Neurospora crassa OR74A: one gene and its partners. The protein of the gene in region 2 binds, or shares a complex with, the protein of the main gene of each other region. Links are inferred from orthologs where the notes say so. Each region holds a gene or a part of one and is shown on either strand. Other genes may lie near its edges.

What was found.
Region 1: NCU06469 (region 2) and NCU07549 share a complex: the UniProt entries of both Saccharomyces cerevisiae proteins name them as parts of the mitochondrial large ribosomal subunit. The link is inferred for Neurospora crassa OR74A from reciprocal best matches to the Saccharomyces cerevisiae genes MNP1 and MRPL51.
Region 3: NCU06469 (region 2) and NCU04068 share a complex: the UniProt entries of both Saccharomyces cerevisiae proteins name them as parts of the mitochondrial large ribosomal subunit. The link is inferred for Neurospora crassa OR74A from reciprocal best matches to the Saccharomyces cerevisiae genes MNP1 and MRPL6.

Annotation. Positions count from the first base shown.
Region 1 is NC_026503.1:4,404,660-4,410,657, forward strand, and holds NCU07549 (mitochondrial 54S ribosomal protein MRPL51), read right to left. Parts: upstream 3,332-5,998; 5' UTR 3,151-3,331; coding exon 3,109-3,150; intron 3,025-3,108; coding exon 2,942-3,024; intron 2,640-2,941; coding exon 2,348-2,639; 3' UTR 1,896-2,347; downstream 1-1,895. Other genes in the region: NCU07550 (triosephosphate isomerase), read left to right, coding at 757-794, 945-1,015, 1,111-1,719, 1,783-1,811; NCU07548 (hypothetical protein), read left to right, coding at 3,831-4,092, 4,199-4,326, 4,413-4,518, 4,785-5,536. UniProt on the Saccharomyces cerevisiae protein: Component of the mitochondrial ribosome (mitoribosome), a dedicated translation machinery responsible for the synthesis of mitochondrial genome-encoded proteins, including at least some of the essential transmembrane subunits of the mitochondrial respiratory chain.
Region 2 is NC_026503.1:1,523,464-1,529,323, reverse strand, and holds NCU06469 (putative mitochondrial 54S ribosomal protein MNP1), read right to left. Parts: upstream 3,181-5,860; 5' UTR 2,963-3,180; coding exon 2,762-2,962; intron 2,495-2,761; coding exon 2,165-2,494; 3' UTR 1,631-2,164; downstream 1-1,630. Other genes in the region: NCU06470 (hypothetical protein), read left to right, coding at 49-204, 373-549, 633-1,421; NCU06468 (midasin), read left to right, coding at 3,766-5,860. UniProt on the Saccharomyces cerevisiae protein: Component of the mitochondrial ribosome (mitoribosome), a dedicated translation machinery responsible for the synthesis of mitochondrial genome-encoded proteins, including at least some of the essential transmembrane subunits of the mitochondrial respiratory chain.
Region 3 is NC_026506.1:2,633,766-2,640,124, reverse strand, and holds NCU04068 (mitochondrial 54S ribosomal protein YmL16), read right to left. Parts: upstream 4,230-6,359; 5' UTR 4,045-4,229; coding exon 3,759-4,044; intron 3,541-3,758; coding exon 3,427-3,540; intron 3,336-3,426; coding exon 2,968-3,335; 3' UTR 2,817-2,967; coding exon of another isoform or gene 1,530-2,816; 3' UTR 1,423-1,529; downstream 1-1,422. Other genes in the region: NCU04070 (hypothetical protein), read right to left, coding at 1-160, 240-570; NCU04069 (3'-phosphoadenosine 5'-phosphatase), read left to right, coding at 1,530-2,816; NCU04067 (hypothetical protein), read left to right, coding at 5,139-5,232, 5,291-5,782, 5,841-6,280, 6,338-6,359. UniProt on the Saccharomyces cerevisiae protein: Component of the mitochondrial ribosome (mitoribosome), a dedicated translation machinery responsible for the synthesis of mitochondrial genome-encoded proteins, including at least some of the essential transmembrane subunits of the mitochondrial respiratory chain.

The DNA of each region.
Region 1 (5,998 bases), about 2.9 Mb from region 2:
TCTCATTTCGCTGGTGATCAACAAATACCTAGCTCACCCAAGAGCCGAACGGACGAGCGGACAGGAAGTTGACACAACAAGCACTCCAGCGTCATTAGTCGGACGCAGGTACAGCGATCCACAACTGGATGGAGATATGACGACACACAAGGGTCCCAGTTAATGATACCAAACCAGCCAAAAGTAAACACACCTACCTTTAGCCGAGTCCCGTCTTCTTGAGGATTGTTTCGTGAAAGTGGTGTCATTTGCTTTTGAACAGAAAGCATTATGAGATATGCTGAGAAGTGGTGTCATATGATGTAGTGTAGAGGAGGACTTGCAGCTTGGAACCACCATTGACAATCGGACCTTCTCGCAACTGGATCCCACCCGCCAAGCAACCATTCACACACGAAAACCTCGAGGGACAACAGCCAGCTCCGGGTCGGGAATCGCAATGTGTGACAGGCTCACTCCGTCTGGCGCCCCCGAACTGCCTCTAGGTAGGTCTGCAGATGATAATCCACTTTTACGTCTGATGCCTCCGCCCTAGTGTAGTAGCTAGTCTTCTGAGTCCCGACCACCCCTCCTCCAGCGGTACACTACATAGAGGTACCCTATCCCCACTTCGTCCTGTCCCATCTCGAGCTCTGTTTCCAACTTCCACTCCAACAACAACAACATCATCATCACAACTTTGCCATCTGCTTCTGCTTCCAGCAACCCCCTAGATACCCCCTTTTTTAGTACTACCAAACCAACAAATCGCCCAAAATGGCTCGCAAGTTCTTCGTCGGCGGCAACTTCAAGATGTGCGTTAATTCTCATCCGAGAGCTGAGGGGAGCTTTCCCCAACACTTTTACCCCGCCATTACCATCATCATCATAGCACCCCGTCATATGTCAACGAAAACCCCGCGGTAATGACTCGGCCAGCTAACTAAACAAACCCCTATTTCCAGGAACGGGACCCGTAAGGATCTCAAGGCCATCGTTGACAACCTTAACAACGCCCAATTGGACCCTAACGCCGGTATGTCTGCAACGCCAGGACAAAAAAAAAAAAAAAAAAAAAGACAGGGTGGAATTAGCAGTACACTGCTCAAATGCTGATCAGAACATAAACAGAGGTCGTGATCGCCCCTCCCGCTCTCTACCTTGACTTCGTCAAGCAGAACCTCCAGAAGCCCAACGTTGAGGTTGCCGCTCAGAACGTCTTCAACAAGCCCAACGGCGCCTTCACCGGCGAGATCAGCGCCACGCAGCTCCTGGATCTCGGCGTCAAGTGGGTCATTCTCGGCCACTCTGAGCGCCGCAACGAGCTCGGCGAGTCGGACGAGTTCATTGCCTCCAAGACCAAGTACGCCCTCGACAACGGCATCTCGGTCATCTGGTGCTGCGGCGAGTCCAAGGACACGCGCCAGGCCGGCGAGACCATCAAGTTCGTCGAGAACCAGCTCGCCGCTCTCGCCAAGGAGATCAACGACTGGAAGAACGTCGTTATCGCGTACGAGCCCATCTGGGCCATTGGCACCGGCCTCGTCGCCACCAAGGAGCAGGCCCAGGAGGTGCACGCCGCCATCCGCAGCTGGCTCAAGCAGAACGTCAGCGACAAGGTTGCTGAGGAGACCCGCATCCTCTACGGTGGCTCTGTCAACGCCAAGAACTGCAAGGACCTTGCCAAGGAGCAGGACATTGACGGTTTCCTTGTTGGCGGTGCCAGCTTGAAGCCCGAGTGTAAGTACTACCTGCCATTGTTGCAACGAGAGGAAGAAAGATGGCTAACATGATATGATGCAGTCGTGGACATCATCAACGCCAACCTGTAAATTACTTGCCCATAAAAAGTTATAGCTTTGCTACAGCCGCAATCATATAGGCTGGGAAATGGTGTTGAGGACACGGCGAAAATATAAAATAGTTAAATGTCCTGATTTTGTTCGATTTGGGATTGAAGAACGTAGTTTCGCTTCATGTAGCCCGTTCATGACTTCTGTGACACCAGATACCGCAACTCCGCGGCTCCTCCATTCGCTCTTAGATGTTCATCCCAAGTTCCAATATCAACAGTCAACCACCAAGCACCAGAAGATAATGTCAGATTCTTTGGAACTGGGGCAACTCATCATGGGAACTCGATAGCTCTGGAAGGACTTGATCACAACCATATAGCCAAACCGAAACCCTTGATACATCCAGAAACCCTTTTCATGTCCTCAATTCATATTCATACATTCAACATGGTATATACAATCCACCTGGTACTGAACCGAGCCAACACCGGCCGAGCACCAAATCCAGCCCAGCACCGATCCAGTCCATTCCAGCACCAGCACCAGCACCTGCTCCTCCCCCTTTTTCCGCTTTATACAGCCATACCCTGCCCATGGTAAGGCGACCAGACACCTCTGACACTGGGGTTCGTGCTGGTGACGGGCTTCTTGAACTTCTGGGGCTTCTCGCCGCTCGCGTCGCGGAGGAGCTCGGCCTTCTTGAGGATCTCGAGCGGCTCCATGTTGCGCACGCAAATGGCCTTGGTGCGCCCGTTGATGTAGTGGCCCATGAGGATCGGGTGCTTGGCGGGCCGGGGAGAGACGACGAACTCGATTTGCGGGTTGGCGGCGGCGAATTTGGGGAGGAGGGATTTGATGAAGCCGCTAGATGGAGGAAGAAGTAAGTGTTAGTGAAAGAGTCTGTCTGCTGAGGTCGCGAAGGGAGACTGGAGGGATAAGGAGGGACGAGGAGGGACGAGGAGGGACGAGGAGGGACGAGGAGGGACGAGAAAAAGGGTATGTAGTGGTGGATGGATGGATGGATGGATGGTCGGGGACGGCGGGATGGTCTCGAGATCTTGGGAGGATGTCGGTTTGGTTGGACGTGTAGAGGTATTGGTATATGTGAAAGATGTTCGATCGGGAATGAGGTTGCGATGTCCATATTCGAAGAATCCTAAACGTACTTCATGCCCCGGGAGCTGCCGGCCCAGTCACTGTAGTGGATGTCCAACTTCTTGCACTGCAAGACGAATGCGCCGACGCCATTCTAGATACAAAACAATCAACGATTAGCATTCTTTTTTTTCTGAAAATTAAAGTTTTTAGTTGCTCAGGCTGCGGTCTAACTTACACGGCCGGCAGAGGAGATCTGCGTCAATGCTTTTACCGTCATTGTTGTGATGCTCTTCTTCTTCTTCTTCTTCGCCGCCGTCCTCGCCTTGCAACAAGTCCGAGTCCACCAGGGTTCATGATCCGGAGGGCGGGTGCGACTTGAACTTCTGCCAGACTCCCGCCCCGTCGCGCGCCGGCACGGCACTGGGGGTGGGGGACCCGCCCAACTGCAAAAGCGGTTGGCAGAATCAATTTCACGCGATTGCACTCCTCCTTGGGTGTGTGCGTAGTGATAACGAAGACGACCTAAGGGTGCACGGTCCCTCTTTCGCACTCAGTCGTTCGGTGGTCGAGCGCGCGAGAAAGCTGCCCAGCAAGAGCTCCAGTCGCTGCGAGGCTGCCAGGCAGTGGACGACACAACACCAGACAGGGCCCTTTGCTGCTCCCGCCTCCCACCCTCTGTCTCTCGTCTTCAGCTGTCCAAGCAAAGTCGCGAAAATGCGGGTTTGACCTTTCTCGCAAACCGACAACACCACATTATCGCCATCACAAGAATTGGCAAACAGTAACAGCGTTCAGCCTTATTGAACTGTTCTCGCCCGGCTTTCCGAACAGTGGATCAAACGCCAGACGACCTACATTTCCTGGTTTCCGACATATCGATTTCATAATTCGACGACAGATAAGATCAACAAAAAAACACCACTTGACCAGCTACAACAGCGACAACGTGAAGCGACAATGACAGACCGGCTCCCGCCTAACCTCCTCGCACTCTTTGCGCCCCGGCCACCTCTGCGCTGGGTGCCGCCCTGCGATGTTGCTCCCGAAGAGCGCAAGTCGGCCTTCATCACCCCCGTTGCCGACTTCCTTCCTGCCATGCAGGCCTACGAGCAAGAATACGAGTACCATCCCACCGAGAGCTGGCTGGAGGCGCGCGACCGCAAGAAGCGCGAGAAGAAGGAAGCTTTGGAGAAGCTGTTGACCGAGGGTCCCAAGAATTGTACGCGGCAAACCCCCAACGTTACGCGCAGTTGTGCTCGCTACTCCTTTACTTGATCATGATCTTGCTGTCGTGCGGCTTGCTAACCGATGGCGTTTATCTGTAGACAACCCTAATGACGATCCCAACATCAGAGGAGATGCTTTCAAGACGTTGATAGTAGCGCGTCTTGACTACCGTGCTGATGAACAGGATCTCGAGCGCGAGTTTAGCCGCTACGGTCCTATCGAGCGTGTGAGTTTGCAAACCCCCCCTCCTCCTATATCATGATTTCACAGCTATGTGTGTGTTAATTGACAAGAACTGACACCAAAAAACAGATCCGTATCATCAGAGATACCCACGCCGATGAGAACCCAAACAAGAAGAAAAAGCCCCATCGTGGCTATGCTTTTGTCGTTTTCGAACGCGAAAAGGACATGAGAGGTAATGACCAGCCCCCCTTGACCCCCCCCCCCCCCCTCTTCTTGACATTCAACCAGCACACACAGACAAGGAAACGCCCGCTGTCGGTGCTTTTCTGTAAGCCCACAACCAGGACTCGAATGGCCCTCAAGCTTGCCTGTCCTGCGGAAACTTTTTCGTCTTCCCTCTATCCATTCATCTTCCACGTCGTATACCTTAAAGGTAGTATTGTTTCTTCATGGTAAGGCCTTACTGACACCTGCGCCTGTGGCGCATGCGCAATCCAGCTGCTCTAGATGGCTGTGATGGCGCCCGTATTAAGGATCGCCGCATCAAGGTCGATGTAGAGAGAGGCCGCACGGTTAAGGGATGGAAACCTCGTCGTCTCGGTGGCGGCCTTGGTGGTCGTGGTTACACCAAGGCAATGCCCGCTAGGCCCATGGGTCCCGGTGGATTTGGCGGTCCCGGTGGCTTCCGCGGTGGTGGTTTTGGTGGCGGATTTAGAGGACGCGACCGCGGCTTCAGGGGTGGTGGCGGCCCCGGCGGCGGCTTTGGAGGTGGTGATCGCTTCGGTGGACGTAGCGGTGGCGGCGGTTTTGGTGGCGGACGTGACGGCGGCCGTGGCTTCGGCGGCCCAGGTGGCAGCAGTTTCTCGCCTCCGTCTAATGCTCCCAATGGTCCCGGTGGTGGCTTCGGCGGCCGTGACCGTGACAGTCATCGTGACAGGGACCGCGATCGCGACAGCCGCAGGGACGGTCCTAGCGGAAGCAGCGGTGGGTACGGTGGGCGTGATGGCGGTCGCTCATATGATGACAGATCTGGCGGCGGAGGTTTCCGCGGCGGCGAACGCAACGCTCGGCAGACTGGCAGCAACATGGAGCCCATCAGGCCTAGAGAACCCGGAGCCCCAAGGGAATCCAGAGACGGTGGGTATCACGGTGGCCGCGACTACGACAGGCCCAGAGATCACGACGACTCATCCAGGAAACGCGGATACGACGGCGGATACGAAGACCCCAGGAAGTTGCGGCGCTACTAGACATGATGGCTGCGAAACAGCATTGACAGACCTCCTAAGCAACAACAACATACTGGTCCGGTTTGTCTCGTGGTGGGTATCATCAGCCCCCTCTCACTGCTCTCAAGTTTCCACTCAGTATTATTCTTCCCTTTTCCTTCGACGATAAGGGTAAGCCACGATGATCACTTCTCACGTGTCATACTTGACTATGGACCGTGTCAACTATCCACGACCAGAAGAATAGTGGGAGGTATCCATGTTCGAGACACTTGGACGTCCAAAGCGGATGTGATTATCTTTTCCGGTGGCTAAGGTAACCGCGTCATAAGGATCCAAAGAGCAATGGTTTGCATGCTCATCAGCCCAAGTCCGAATGGCAATCCGTCCGGCCTTCCGTTCCATCGGTCTGTCAGTCACATCAGTCCAAAGACAACTGGAGGTCTAGAACTCCAGGTGGCACTGGTGAGAGATTTCGTCAAC
Region 2 (5,860 bases):
TACCAGCATCTAGACGCAAAACAACATACATCACCAAAAAAAGCAAAAATGGCCGACCCTTTCGAGGTGCGCATGCGCTTCACAAACCAGCTCCGCCAACTAAGTGCCTCCGTGACATCCTCGCAAAAGGCAGCACAGTATGCTCTCCGACACAAGGATCTAGCTGAAGATTTGCACTCTTGCATTCTGGAGCAACTTGAAAGGGTGTGTTTATCTTTTATCTTCATGTTTGCTCAGTCAATCAATCATTTTGGGAAGAAGACGAGTTGAGCTGGTGTCAAACCATCCAGCCTCACCCTCATCGGCTCATCCCTCCCCCTACCCCCGCGGCTCGTTGGCTCAATCAAGACATTCACTAACAAAGGTTCCCAGAGCAATCTCAACATGCGAGCCAACATCATGTACTTCATCGAGCACTTTCTCGACATGGCCTACAAAGACGGACAAGAGGATTACATCCGCATGATGCAGCGGGACATTATTCGTGTGGTCGATGCCGTGGCGCCAGATGACGGGTCAGGGGCGGCTAACGTCAAGGTTGTCCGCAAGGTTTGTGTTTTTGCCTTTCTCACCCGTCTTTATCCCCCCCCTAATCCTCAGCCAATGCTAAAAACAACACAAACATACAACAGGTCCTCCAAGCCCTCCACGCCAAATCCTTTCTCGACGCCACCATCCTAACCGACATCTTTGAAGTCCTCCGCGAACGCGGCGAATCCTACGTTTCCTCCCAAGGGGACCTCGTCCTCTCCCCTTCTGCCAACAACAACAACAACCTTTCAGCAGCAGCATCGGGATACGATACCAACATGCCCCCCTCGCAAACCGCCATCCACTCTTCCTCCTACCCTCCTCCTTTTCCTCCATCTTCTTCCACAGCAGCAGCAGGTACCCTCCCCACCAGCACCAACGCCACCAATGCCGCCGGCGGACCTTCCTCTAGCAACCAACAGCATAGCAATTTGAGCAAACGCGGCGGAGGCGTCAACACTGCCGCCCCTCGTCTCGACAAGAAACAAGTTGAGCAACGTATCGAGGAGGATCGTGAGCGGCATAAGAGGCTGAGGGAGAACATCTGGGCGGTGCCGAGCGGAGACGAGCTGGATAGATTGCTGGAGGAGACGTCAGAGTTGGGGGATGACGACATGAGGGCGATATGGGAAGAGCAGGAGGAGTGGGAGAGGAGTTTGCAGGCGGGGATTGGAGGGATTGGAGGGAGTGGTGGTGCGGGGTGTGGGCATACTACCTCTACCAGTAACGGGGGTGAGAGGGATGATGGTATGAATGGGAATAACATGAAGGAAAAGCCAATGTCGATTAGTGGGGAGATTGCCGAGATGGCGAGGAGGAAGCAGCTGCAGCAGCTGGAAAAGGAGCAACAGGAGAAGCAAGATAAAGATGTGGAGATGACTTCGGGTTAGGAAACCGACGGAGGAGAAGAGAACCTGGGAATTCAAGACCAGTAGGAATGACACGGGTGGTGGATACAAGAGGCGCGCTGGTAGGAGTGCGATAGAAAGAAGAAAATTGAAGGAGGCAAGGAGAAGGAGGTTGAGAATAAGAAACAAGGAAGTTACCGATACATGGGGTATGCATGGGATGGCGTTTATGTTTTTGGCTGTTTAGTTATCTTCGGTATCCATAAGCGAAAGTGGGGAGATACTATTAACTCAGAAGCGGCATCTGCTCACGGTAATATCGTCGACAGACTCTCATGTTTTCGCTGACAACCCGTTCTTCTATCCATCCCAGTTCTCGTAGTATGATATAATGTTACATGTTTCATTGCTTTTTGTACACGTACAAGTGGTATATGTTGTTGTGAGGAATCTGTGTCCGCCACTCCCCCCCTTTCCCCATGAGGATATAATGTAGATGAGACCGAGAATCCCCCTTTATGTGTTTCCCAAGGCCCTGGCATTTCTTCCAACTCTGTCCCGTCATGATCATCATTATAGGAAAAAAAAAAGAAAATATCTTTCCGGCATCTGTGTCAGGAAAAGATCTCCTCGTTTGGTTCTTTTTCTGCGGGGGAGGGACGTGACCATCCTACAAAACAACAACACACATACACACACACACACACGGCGCCTCCACCCACCACACCACCACACAGAGACCATAACCATAGCAACCAACCCTTTTACTAGGCAGAAGCAGCAGTTTAGTCCATGGTGACGGTGGCGCCGAGCTCCTTCATGGCGGCGACAATCTTCTCGGCATCCTCCTTTGGTACCGACTCCTTCATGACCTTGGGCGCGCTCTCGACGAACTTCTTGGACTCTACTAGGGAGAGGCCGAGCAGGTTCTTGACCTCCTTGATGACCTTGGGCTTGGCGGCGGCGTCGAACTTCTCGAGCTTGAGCGTGAACAGCGTCTTCTCGGCAGCGGCAGGGGCGGCCTCCTCCTCCTCAGCGGGAGCGGCGGCGGGGGCAGCGGCGGGGGCGGCAGCGGCGAAACCACCGACGGGGAGATCGGGGATGTTGAGGCGGGACTGTTTTGTGTAAAAGAAGAGAGAGAGAGAGAGAGTGAGTGTTAGTGTTGGTGCCCATGTACATGTGTGCGACTTGAGAGTCTAGGTAGTATAAGATAGGTCTGTCTGTCTGTCTGTCTGTCCGGGGCCGGGCCGGGTCGGGTCGGGTCGGGTCCGGGGCGCAAAAACATCCGGAAACCTTGAAACATGCTCCGATTCGGGTTTTGTGTGTCCCGGTTCCCGGCCCCGGTTGTTCTTCTTCTCGTGCTTTATTTAAATCGGGCGTACCTTGAGGCTGGACACAAGCTCCGAGGTCTCGAGGAGAGTCAGGGTGCTGATCTGGTCAACAATGGCGGCGATCTTGGGGTTGGCGGCAGGGGCGGCGGTGGACTCGAAGCGCTTCTGGACGAGGAGGGAGCTCGAGGCCCGGGTGGATGCGCGGAGCTGGCGGGCGGCGCATTGCGCGGCGAAGCGAACCGAGAGAGACATTGTTGGTATGTGTGTGTGTTGGTGGTGGTGGGTTGTGTGGATGGATGGATGGAGAGAGGGGAGTCGGACTCGGACCGGAGGAAGGAAAGAGAGAGGGCGCGCGGGGGCGGTCGGATTGGGGTTCTCTTTTTTTGGTGAGGGAGGCTTGCCGTCGACGTCGACTTCGAGGATCGTACAACCGAACCGTACAACAACTAAACGGAGATATTTTTTTGGGGACGTTGTCGCGCGCTCCCGGGTGCTGCGAAATCTGGGACCCACTACTGGCAGTTGGCAGCTTGGTGGTTTGGGCGTGCAAGTTGGATCTATGACGGCTGGCTGACCCGGAGCTGCAGCTGGAGGGGAAAACCCAAGCTGCCTGCCCCGCGCGAGTCTGGGGATTAGGTACCTCTGTACCTTGAAGTCCACTGAAGACGCGCTAAAGGATGGGCCCCTGTCATCCCAAGCGCGCCCCTGCTGCCGCTGGGCTGTTCGTCCCACCCGGAACTAGGTTCCACTTTTGAAGAAGATGGCTCCCTTGCCTGCCGCAGCCGACTTACACTACACTATGTAGAGTACTATGCAGTACACCCCAGCACATGCGCCTAGCGCTAAGTAGCATGTACCCCGCACTATCGTTCAGCGCGATAAGGAATTTCATGTGGGAAAAAGTTCCAAACGGGAGAAAGCGAAGTTCAATGGGCAAAAAAGTTAGAGATAAAAAAAAAAAAGAGACTAAGAAAAACATCACCGTTTTTCACAACGACGACGACGACGACGACGACGACATCCACGCCAACCCGTCCCGTCGCTTTTCCCTGGCCATGATGGCCGTGATCGATGTGAGCCAGCAGAGGGCGTCGCTCCTTAGCGATGCGACCACCTTGGACCTCTTGCCGCCAGAGTTGCTGCTCATAATCCAGGATCACCAATCGACCAAATTCCTCGATGCGATCGCCAGCGCCGCTCTTGTCTCGACAGCCACCGACCGCATCTTTACCCATTTCGAGTCTGTTTTTGCCGATATTTGCGCCAGATGGATTCTGTCTTCTCCAAAACTCGATACGCGAGTCCTTGCCGCTTTCGCAAGGATCTTGCCCTTCGCCCCGTCGCTGTCCGTCTTCCTCGTGTCGCATCTTCGAGGAGGATCTTTTGGTGGTGTTAATGGTGGTAACCACAACGACAAAAGCAACGACAATGATGCTTCTTCAAAACTTAAACCTCTCGATTCCCTTGACCTAGCTTCGATCCGCCCAGATGACCTCCCAATTGTCCTCCTAGCCCTCTGGAGGCTCAACAACTTTGACAAGCGCACCTACGCCGGCCTGTCAAAGCCATCCCAAATACAGACCCTGTTCGCACACGAGAACCCCATCGTCCGATATCTTGCCGTCCGAATCTTCTGCCAGCTTCATAATGCCGCCGATGTCAAGATCGAAGCCCTCCTCGAAAAGCACATACCCAAAGATACCAGCCTTGTCGCAGAGCTCGACGGGCGCGAAGCCGACTATGCGTTCCTCAGCCTACACGAGGATTCTAGACGTGAAGACATTCAGAGCTCTCGCAGTAAATCCCAACAAACTAGTGCGGTTGACGATGCGGTTGTCGAATTGAATATCACAAACATCCCAGAACAGAACCTCACTCCTCTAGTTGTCAAATATGGAAAGACAGTCCTCCCGCGTCCCCTCGGCCCTGTGACTGCTCCCACCACCCTCGCACTTACCCCGACGACTGTTGAGAACCTCGAGAACCTCACCGGGTGCCTGCAACGACCCGGGCCTATCCTCCTCCACGGCCTGTCCGGTTCCGGCAAGACCTCCCTAGTCCACGAGATTGCGCGCGAGTTAGGCAAGCAGAAGCAACTAGTGACACTACACCTGAACGAGCAAACCGACGCCAAGATGCTGCTTGGGCTATACACCACCGACTCGAAACCCGGTTCCTTCTCGTGGCGCCCAGGTGTGTTGACCACTGCCGTCAAGGAGGGAAGATGGGTCTTGATTGAGGATCTCGATCGCGCGCCAACAGAAGTCATGAGCACATTGCTGCCTCTCATTGAGCGAGGAGAGCTGCTAATTCCTGGACGCGGCGAGACCATACAGGCCACCGAAGGCTTCCGCATATTTGCTACTGTCCGGACGCTGCTCGGCATGAACGACAAGGAGAACCTACCCAGCTTGATTGGTCTGCGTCTTTGGCAGCTTACGCACGTCAAGGCCCTTCCCCAACAGGACTTGAAGGATGTCATCAACAGCAGATATCCCTTGCTTCACAAATACGTTCCAGGAGTGTTGGCGGTCTTCGATGCGTTGCTGGCGGCCACCAGCGGTTCGACCCGTCTGTCGCTCGGTCGCATGGTCTTCGAGCGGCCACTCGGCACAAGAGATCTCCTCAAGTGGTGCGGGCGCCTAGATGAGATTCTCCGTGCTTCCGGCTGCAAGACTGGCGAGGAGCCCATTACCGATACTACCAGGGACCGCATGTTCCTCGAAGCGGCCGATGTTTTCGTTGGTGGAGTCAAGGAGATCCAAGCGCGTAATATTCTAATAGGTGTCATTGCGAAGGAGATGCATCTTTCTCCCGAGAGGGTTGAGCACTACTTGACGAGCTACGTTCCCGACTTGGAGGATAATGAGTCAAGACTCACCATCGGCCGCGTCTCGTTTGCAAAGGGGAGGAAAACCAGCCGTGGGGCCAAGAACAAGAGGCCTTTCGCTACCACCACTCATGCTAAGCGGTTGCTGGAGCAGATTGCGGTTGCTGTAAGGCACAAGGAGCCGCTCCTGTTGGTCGGTGAGACGGGTATCGGTAAGACTACCGTGGTTCAGCAGCTGGCGGAATCACTTGGTCACCAACTTGTCGCCGTCAACTTGTCCCAGCAAAGTGAAGCTGGTGACCTTTTGGGTGGCTTCAAGC
Region 3 (6,359 bases), on a different chromosome or scaffold from region 2:
GACACTTGTATAATGGTTTGCACCAGGCCGGCACTGATGGTGAATGCACTGCTATCTTCATCGTTTGATGAACAGTCACATTTTCCTTCGTTGAAGTCTGACGCACAGCAGAATCGGCCGTTTCCACAGGCAGCTAATTCGCCTTTGCGGTTCCCGTTATCTATTAAATGAAAGCAAGGTAGATGTCAGTCAGTTGTTGACAATGGCACTGACCGTCAGACAGCTTTGATTGGACTTACCAAGGCAAGCACTCCCGCAGATGTAGTTATTCCATTGAGGATTTGTACAAGCTCCTCGCTGCACCGCGCCCAGAGTCAAGTTGGGAAACGAGTTGCTTTCTGTCGTCGTAATGCAAAGCGCATTGCTGAAACATGTCCACCCTGCCGGACAACAAGAAGAAACTGGAGCGTTGAAGGCCTGGCAAGCAAAGTAGCCTGGTGCGAACTCGCCACCAGGAAAGTAACACGGCGCATTTGGGTCGGCTCGTACTTGTCGCGCTTCTGTCGCTAGGTACACAAGTATCGCGAAGAGGGAAGATGTAGTAGGAATCATTTTTGCGGGTTCGCGCATCGCTCTCTCTGGTCATCAGCAACCAGAACTTGTAGGAAACAACAACAACAAAAAAAAATGGACAATGAGGAGATTGACAGAGTTATCAGGAAAATACAAACTTGATAGAAGTAAAAACACACCCGTGGGCGCCACGACGGCCCGTCCATACTTATCAAGTGACCAGCAACACCATGAGGCTGGCAATTAGGTTATACCAGGGCCTGTTCAGCTCGACCTCCGCATCGATGTGACCCGTGATGGTGTCTCCAGAAGCGCTTTGAGTTGCTGAATGGGAGTTGATCCAAGCAAGCCACTTGGCTTGGCACGCTGCGGCATGGATGCTGCAGCTTTTCGGAGCTCAGTTGGTTCGTTGAATGTAAAGGGTTGGACTTTCGGTCCGGTTCCCTTTTCGTTGATAACAGGGTGCAGAATTTACTGTTGCTGCGCAGTTCGCTTCGAGGTCATCGGGACCGTCTGAGTGTCGTCGGCGGAAGTGAAGATAGAAATCCCACAAAATGTGATGAATATTGGAGTCGAAAGAGAAGCTCTCTCCGAGTTCGGGGCTAGCTACCTAGCTTATCCGTGGGTGCTCATGTTTAACATGGAAAGGACCCTGAACCGAGCCGTGTCATCATTGCTGTTTTGACGGGCATTCTCTCAAGAGTGGAGTGCCAAATCGAAAAAGAAACATCAAGAAATAGGTAAAGCATTTCATCAAAGTAAACAAAGATTTTGAGACTCTCATGTCTGCATTTGTGGAGATAGCGAGCGGTTGGTGGCATTGCGGGGAACCAATTGAAGTGGGAAAAAAGACAAAAAGGGCAGTCATACGTCAACAGCTTCGCCGCTACAGAATCAGTGCGGGGAACATTTGACAGCCAGAATCCCAAGTTCAACCACTCAACAACTTGGACTGAATACGTATTCCGGTTACGGATTGAAAATTCCCCGAGGTTTATCGATCCTCTCGCGGCTGTATGACTGTGGATAAGATCAAACAGCAGAAAAAGGCATCGTCCCATACTTTCTACTCCAAAATTCTCTTCGTTTTCTCCCTCATCGTCCTCATCCTGGCTATCTTCAGTTCCCGCATCTCCTTTCCCCGGCTTTCCCTCATTGCGAGCCATTTGACTGGCAGTGCCAACACAATCACAGCAACCAGCCGCTCAACCATTACAACTACATCTACACAGAAGATGGCCTCTTCCCAGTACGCAAAGGAGCTCGAGGTAGCTCAGCTCGCCGTCCAGCGGGCCGCCCGCCTCACCAAGCGCGTCTTCCACGAGAAGGCCAAGGGCACCGTTTCCAAGGACGACAAGTCCCCTGTGACCATTGGCGACTTTGGCGCTCAGGCGCTCATCATCAGCGCCCTCAAGGCCAACTTTCCTTCGGACGAGATTGTGGCTGAGGAGGAGGCCGCTCAGCTGCGCGAGGACACCCCCCTGCGGGACCAGATCTGGGAGCTCGTCAAGTCCACCAAGCTTGACGATGAGGCTGCCGAGCAACTCCTTGGCGGCGCCATCAAGGATGCCGACGCGATGCTGGAGATCATCGACCAGGGCAACAGCAAGGGCGGCGCCAAGGGCAGGATATGGACTATCGACCCCATCGACGGCACCAAGGGCTTCCTGCGCGGTGGACAGTATGCCGTGTGCTTGGGACTGATGGTGGACGGTGACGTCAAGGTCGGTGTTCTCGGTTGCCCGAACCTGCCTGTGGACGACGCTGCGCCGTTGGCTGCGGATATCGGCACCAATGCGACCGATGAGGGCCGGGGTGTCATCTTCTCGGCCGTTCAGGGCCAAGGCGCGACTAGCAGACCCCTGGGCACCGCCGGTCTTGCGGAGGGCAAGTCCATTGCGATGAAGCCTATTACAGAGATGTCCAACGCCAGCTTCTGCGAGAGCGTGGAGGCGGGTCACTCGGATCAGGGCGTGGCTGGACAGATTGCGCAGAAGCTCGGGATCACCAAGCCTAGTGTGCGCATGGATTCCCAGGCCAAGTACGGCTCTATTGCTCGCGGCGCGGGTGATATCTACCTCCGTCTGCCTACTTCCAAGTCTTACCAGGAGAAGATCTGGGATCACGCTGCTGGAGATCTGATTGTGCGTGAGGCTGGTGGTCAGGTTACCGACGTGAGTGGAAACCGCCTGGATTTCAGCGTCGGCCGCACGTTGGCTGAAAACAAGGGTGTCATTGCGGCGCCTGCTGCGGTCCACGACCAGGTCATCAAGGTCGTTCAGGAAGTTCTCGGGCAGCAGTAAAGCCTCGGTGTCATAGTGTACAGGTTATGGCAGGTATCGGGCCGTTATGAGGCCATGTGTGTGCCAAAAAAAATAATAGACTAAATGTACAATATTCCCCCCTTATCCTCATCAACAACCATATCAGCCACCAAAACCCACCGCGCGTCCTCTATTTGATCTTCTTCTGCTTCAACTTGATGGTCTCGCCGTTGACAAAGATACCCTTACCCTTGTAGGGTTCCGGTACACGCCACCTCCTGATATCAGCGGCGAAGGTCATGACCTGCTCTCTGTTGATGCCCTCAAGCAGGATTCTTGTCGGCTGCGGCGTGCTGGCCTTCATGCCCTTGGGAACGCCCATCTCGACGGGGTGGGAGAAACCGAGCTTGAGGCAGACGAACTGCTGGCCGGGGTATTCCTCCTTCTCGGGGCGGGTGTCGATTGTAGCTCTGTAACCGATACCGACCAAACGCAACACGGCCGTGTGACCTTCTGATACACCCATAATGAAGCGGTTGAGGTACGCCCATGTTGTTCCTGTTTTGTCCAAGAAAGATTCGAAATCGTCAGCTGACTGGCCGCCCGTAACTTTCCACATTCTCCAAGACAAGGAAGGTGTTTGCCATACCCCACATCTCTCTCTGCTCCTTCTCGTCCCGGTTCGCTACGCTGAGGGTCGCTCTCCTTGCCTCGGCGTCGTGGTCGATCTTGATGAAGTCGGGAATGTCCATCTCGAGTTGTCCTGTGAAAAAGCACACGCACACGTGCAACAAGTCAGCCAGCTGCTCTGCTCCCATCCTAGTCCCCTTTGCACTCTCGCGCAAACACCCATAAACAACGTTCTCTCTCGGGCCTCTCCCAGCCCATCTGTTGCGCCCGCTCCAGTTTCGTTGCGTATCCTCAAATAAAACACCCATCTGGTCCTTTTGCCAAGTCGATTTTACAATAGAACAAACTAACCCAACGGGCCCTGCACCGTAATCTTGCGCTTAGGCTGCTGCTTCCACTGCGTCATGTCGCGCTTGACGAAGGGCTCGCCAATGGTGATCTCGACGCCAGGAGGGATACTGAGCGGGGTGCGGCCGAGCTTGGACGGGCGGGTTGTCGTCGCGGAAAAGTTGCGCCGGGCGGCGGCACCGGCAGTCTGTTGGAAGGCGGGCACCAGGAAGCCGGGGAGTGTGACGACGGGAGAAGATGAGGAAGAGGCAACGGCCTCAAGGACCCTCCTTCGGCTTGGGGCGAACATCGTGGTGAGTGTCGTCGTCGTCGGCAGGGTGGTGGCCGTCGTCACGATGCGGAACCGGAATTGGCGAAGAGACGCGGCGCTCCAGTTCGGAGGTTCTGGCAGTCGCAAGGGCAGCACCGAGTCAATGGCAAGCCGGCCGGGTGGTGGGATGAACCGAGTGGATCTTCGGAGAGCTCCAAAAAATGTATCGGACCTGACGCGGCACAGCAATGCAGCTAGTGATTGGCTGTAAATACAACAGGGTTAGGGTCGTATCCGCATAGTCTCGCTGCTGCTATTCGCTTGGGCTAAGAAACAACGACGAACACCAACAGATGTTATTCCATCCGACATCATTCATCTCGAGTAAGAAATCTTCAAAAAGAAAATGGCACAGGGCGTGGAAGTGTAGAGTTTACTCGATGGAACATATTGTTTCACAATATTCAGATTGAATGTTGAATTAATCTCCCGTTCGACAATCGTCCAGCTTTCCGATGACGACTTTACGGATGCCAACCTCACGATAGTCATCACCACCCAGAACACCCGTCACGGTCGAAGTCTTCCAAACTGTCTCAAGCGAGCTGTTTGCACTTTCTCGATACCGGATGAAAAGATGCAGATTCCAGTGATGTCAAGACAAGTGGTCTACAGCCCAAATCTTTGTCTAGGCTCGCTTCTGTTGGAGAGGACAGCGTCACATCAGACGATTAAGAACCAGCAAAAGTCGAGCTCGGCAGACAATCACAGTCATATTCGATGCGAACTTCAAGTGAAGTCATTTCACACGAAACCTTTTCGCGGTTTCACAATCCTGTGATTCTTGTCCCGCTAAATTCAAGTCCGCTTCTCTTATCCTGGGCAGTCGCGATCGCCAACTTACCCTCATACACCTTCCTTCCTTCCCTCTCTTGAATCGCTCCTTCTCTTCAAAAACACCACAGAATTTTCAGTTGCATGGCCACAAACTTCGATCGCCAAAATTGCACTACCAATATTGCCAGAATCTCCATTTCTTACTGCCGAAGTCCCTTCGACGGCACTCTTCTGGACGCATCTGACTTTATCAGTATATCATCATCAGCCTGTCGCATTGCACTTACATGACAACTATGGCCAGGAAGCTTCTCTTCACGGCTCTCTGTGCCGTTACAGCTACACCTTCTCTGGCCTTTTCGTGGGGAGGTGAAAGAAAAGTGGCAGTTCGTAAGTAATATCAGAGCACTGCCTGCAGGGCTTGACTAATAATATGACCGCAACACAGCCGACCATCAAGTCAACATCGACCGCAACATCCAGCCTTCGGATCTGCTTCGAGCGTCCTCACGCCTACCAAATATCTACGCCGTCGCCCTAAGTGAACTTCAAGAACTCGAATCAGAACCGTTTTGCCATCGTGTGGCCGCCCGACTCCTAGTCAACAACTGCCAGCTGGTAGACGGAAAGAACGACGCCACAATCCTCACAGACACTGGTCGGCAAGTTCGCGACTTTGTTGATTCCTACGCTGCCAGTCTAGCGATATGTGATTTGGAGCGAGGCAGGTTCAATATCCCGGCGCAATGTGCCAAGTTCCGTGAACCGGCCCTGAGTCAGATTGCGATCCGGGACCAAGCACAACTCCACGTCAGCAGTCATGAAATCGATCACTGCCTGTCAGCCATGAAGTCGTCAGATGCTGCGTGGAATACGTGGATTAGTTATCGGCACAAGGCCTTGCGGTTCTGTGAGGCGGCCAGAGCGGATAATGAGAAAGGTATGGTATCTAGGTTGAGACGCACCGTTTCAGAGTCGTAGCTGACAGTGATTTACAGCACAAAACATTCTCCTCTATCAACGACTCACGAATGTGATGAAGAACCTTACAGAAGGCGTGGAAGCTCAGCTTCAGAAGCAAATGAATCGACTTGACCTGCGGACACAACAGTCCATGAAAAATCTCGACAACCTCACACCACAGATCGATAAACTGAGAGATGGGCTTGCCATGGTTCATGAATACTTGGCGACCGATGTTGAAGCAACACTCCGAAGGTCCTTTGCCTCCCTACACGACAGCCAACAACAAGCCGAAGACCTGCAGAAACTGCTCAACCTACTGCTTACTGGTGTTCTTGAGGGTCACTCACGAGTGGCCCATGCGCACGAACATGCCCTTCAACAAGTCTCCGTCCGAGCCAACGATGGCATTGGAGCCCTAGTTGCGGTGGTTGCCACAGCCGCAGCATCAACCACCGCCCTACAACAACAAATTGTAGGCCATCTTCCTGACAGTGACCGTCACTTACATCGTGTGACTAACCCTGGATAGGAACTCTCCAACCAACAAGCCG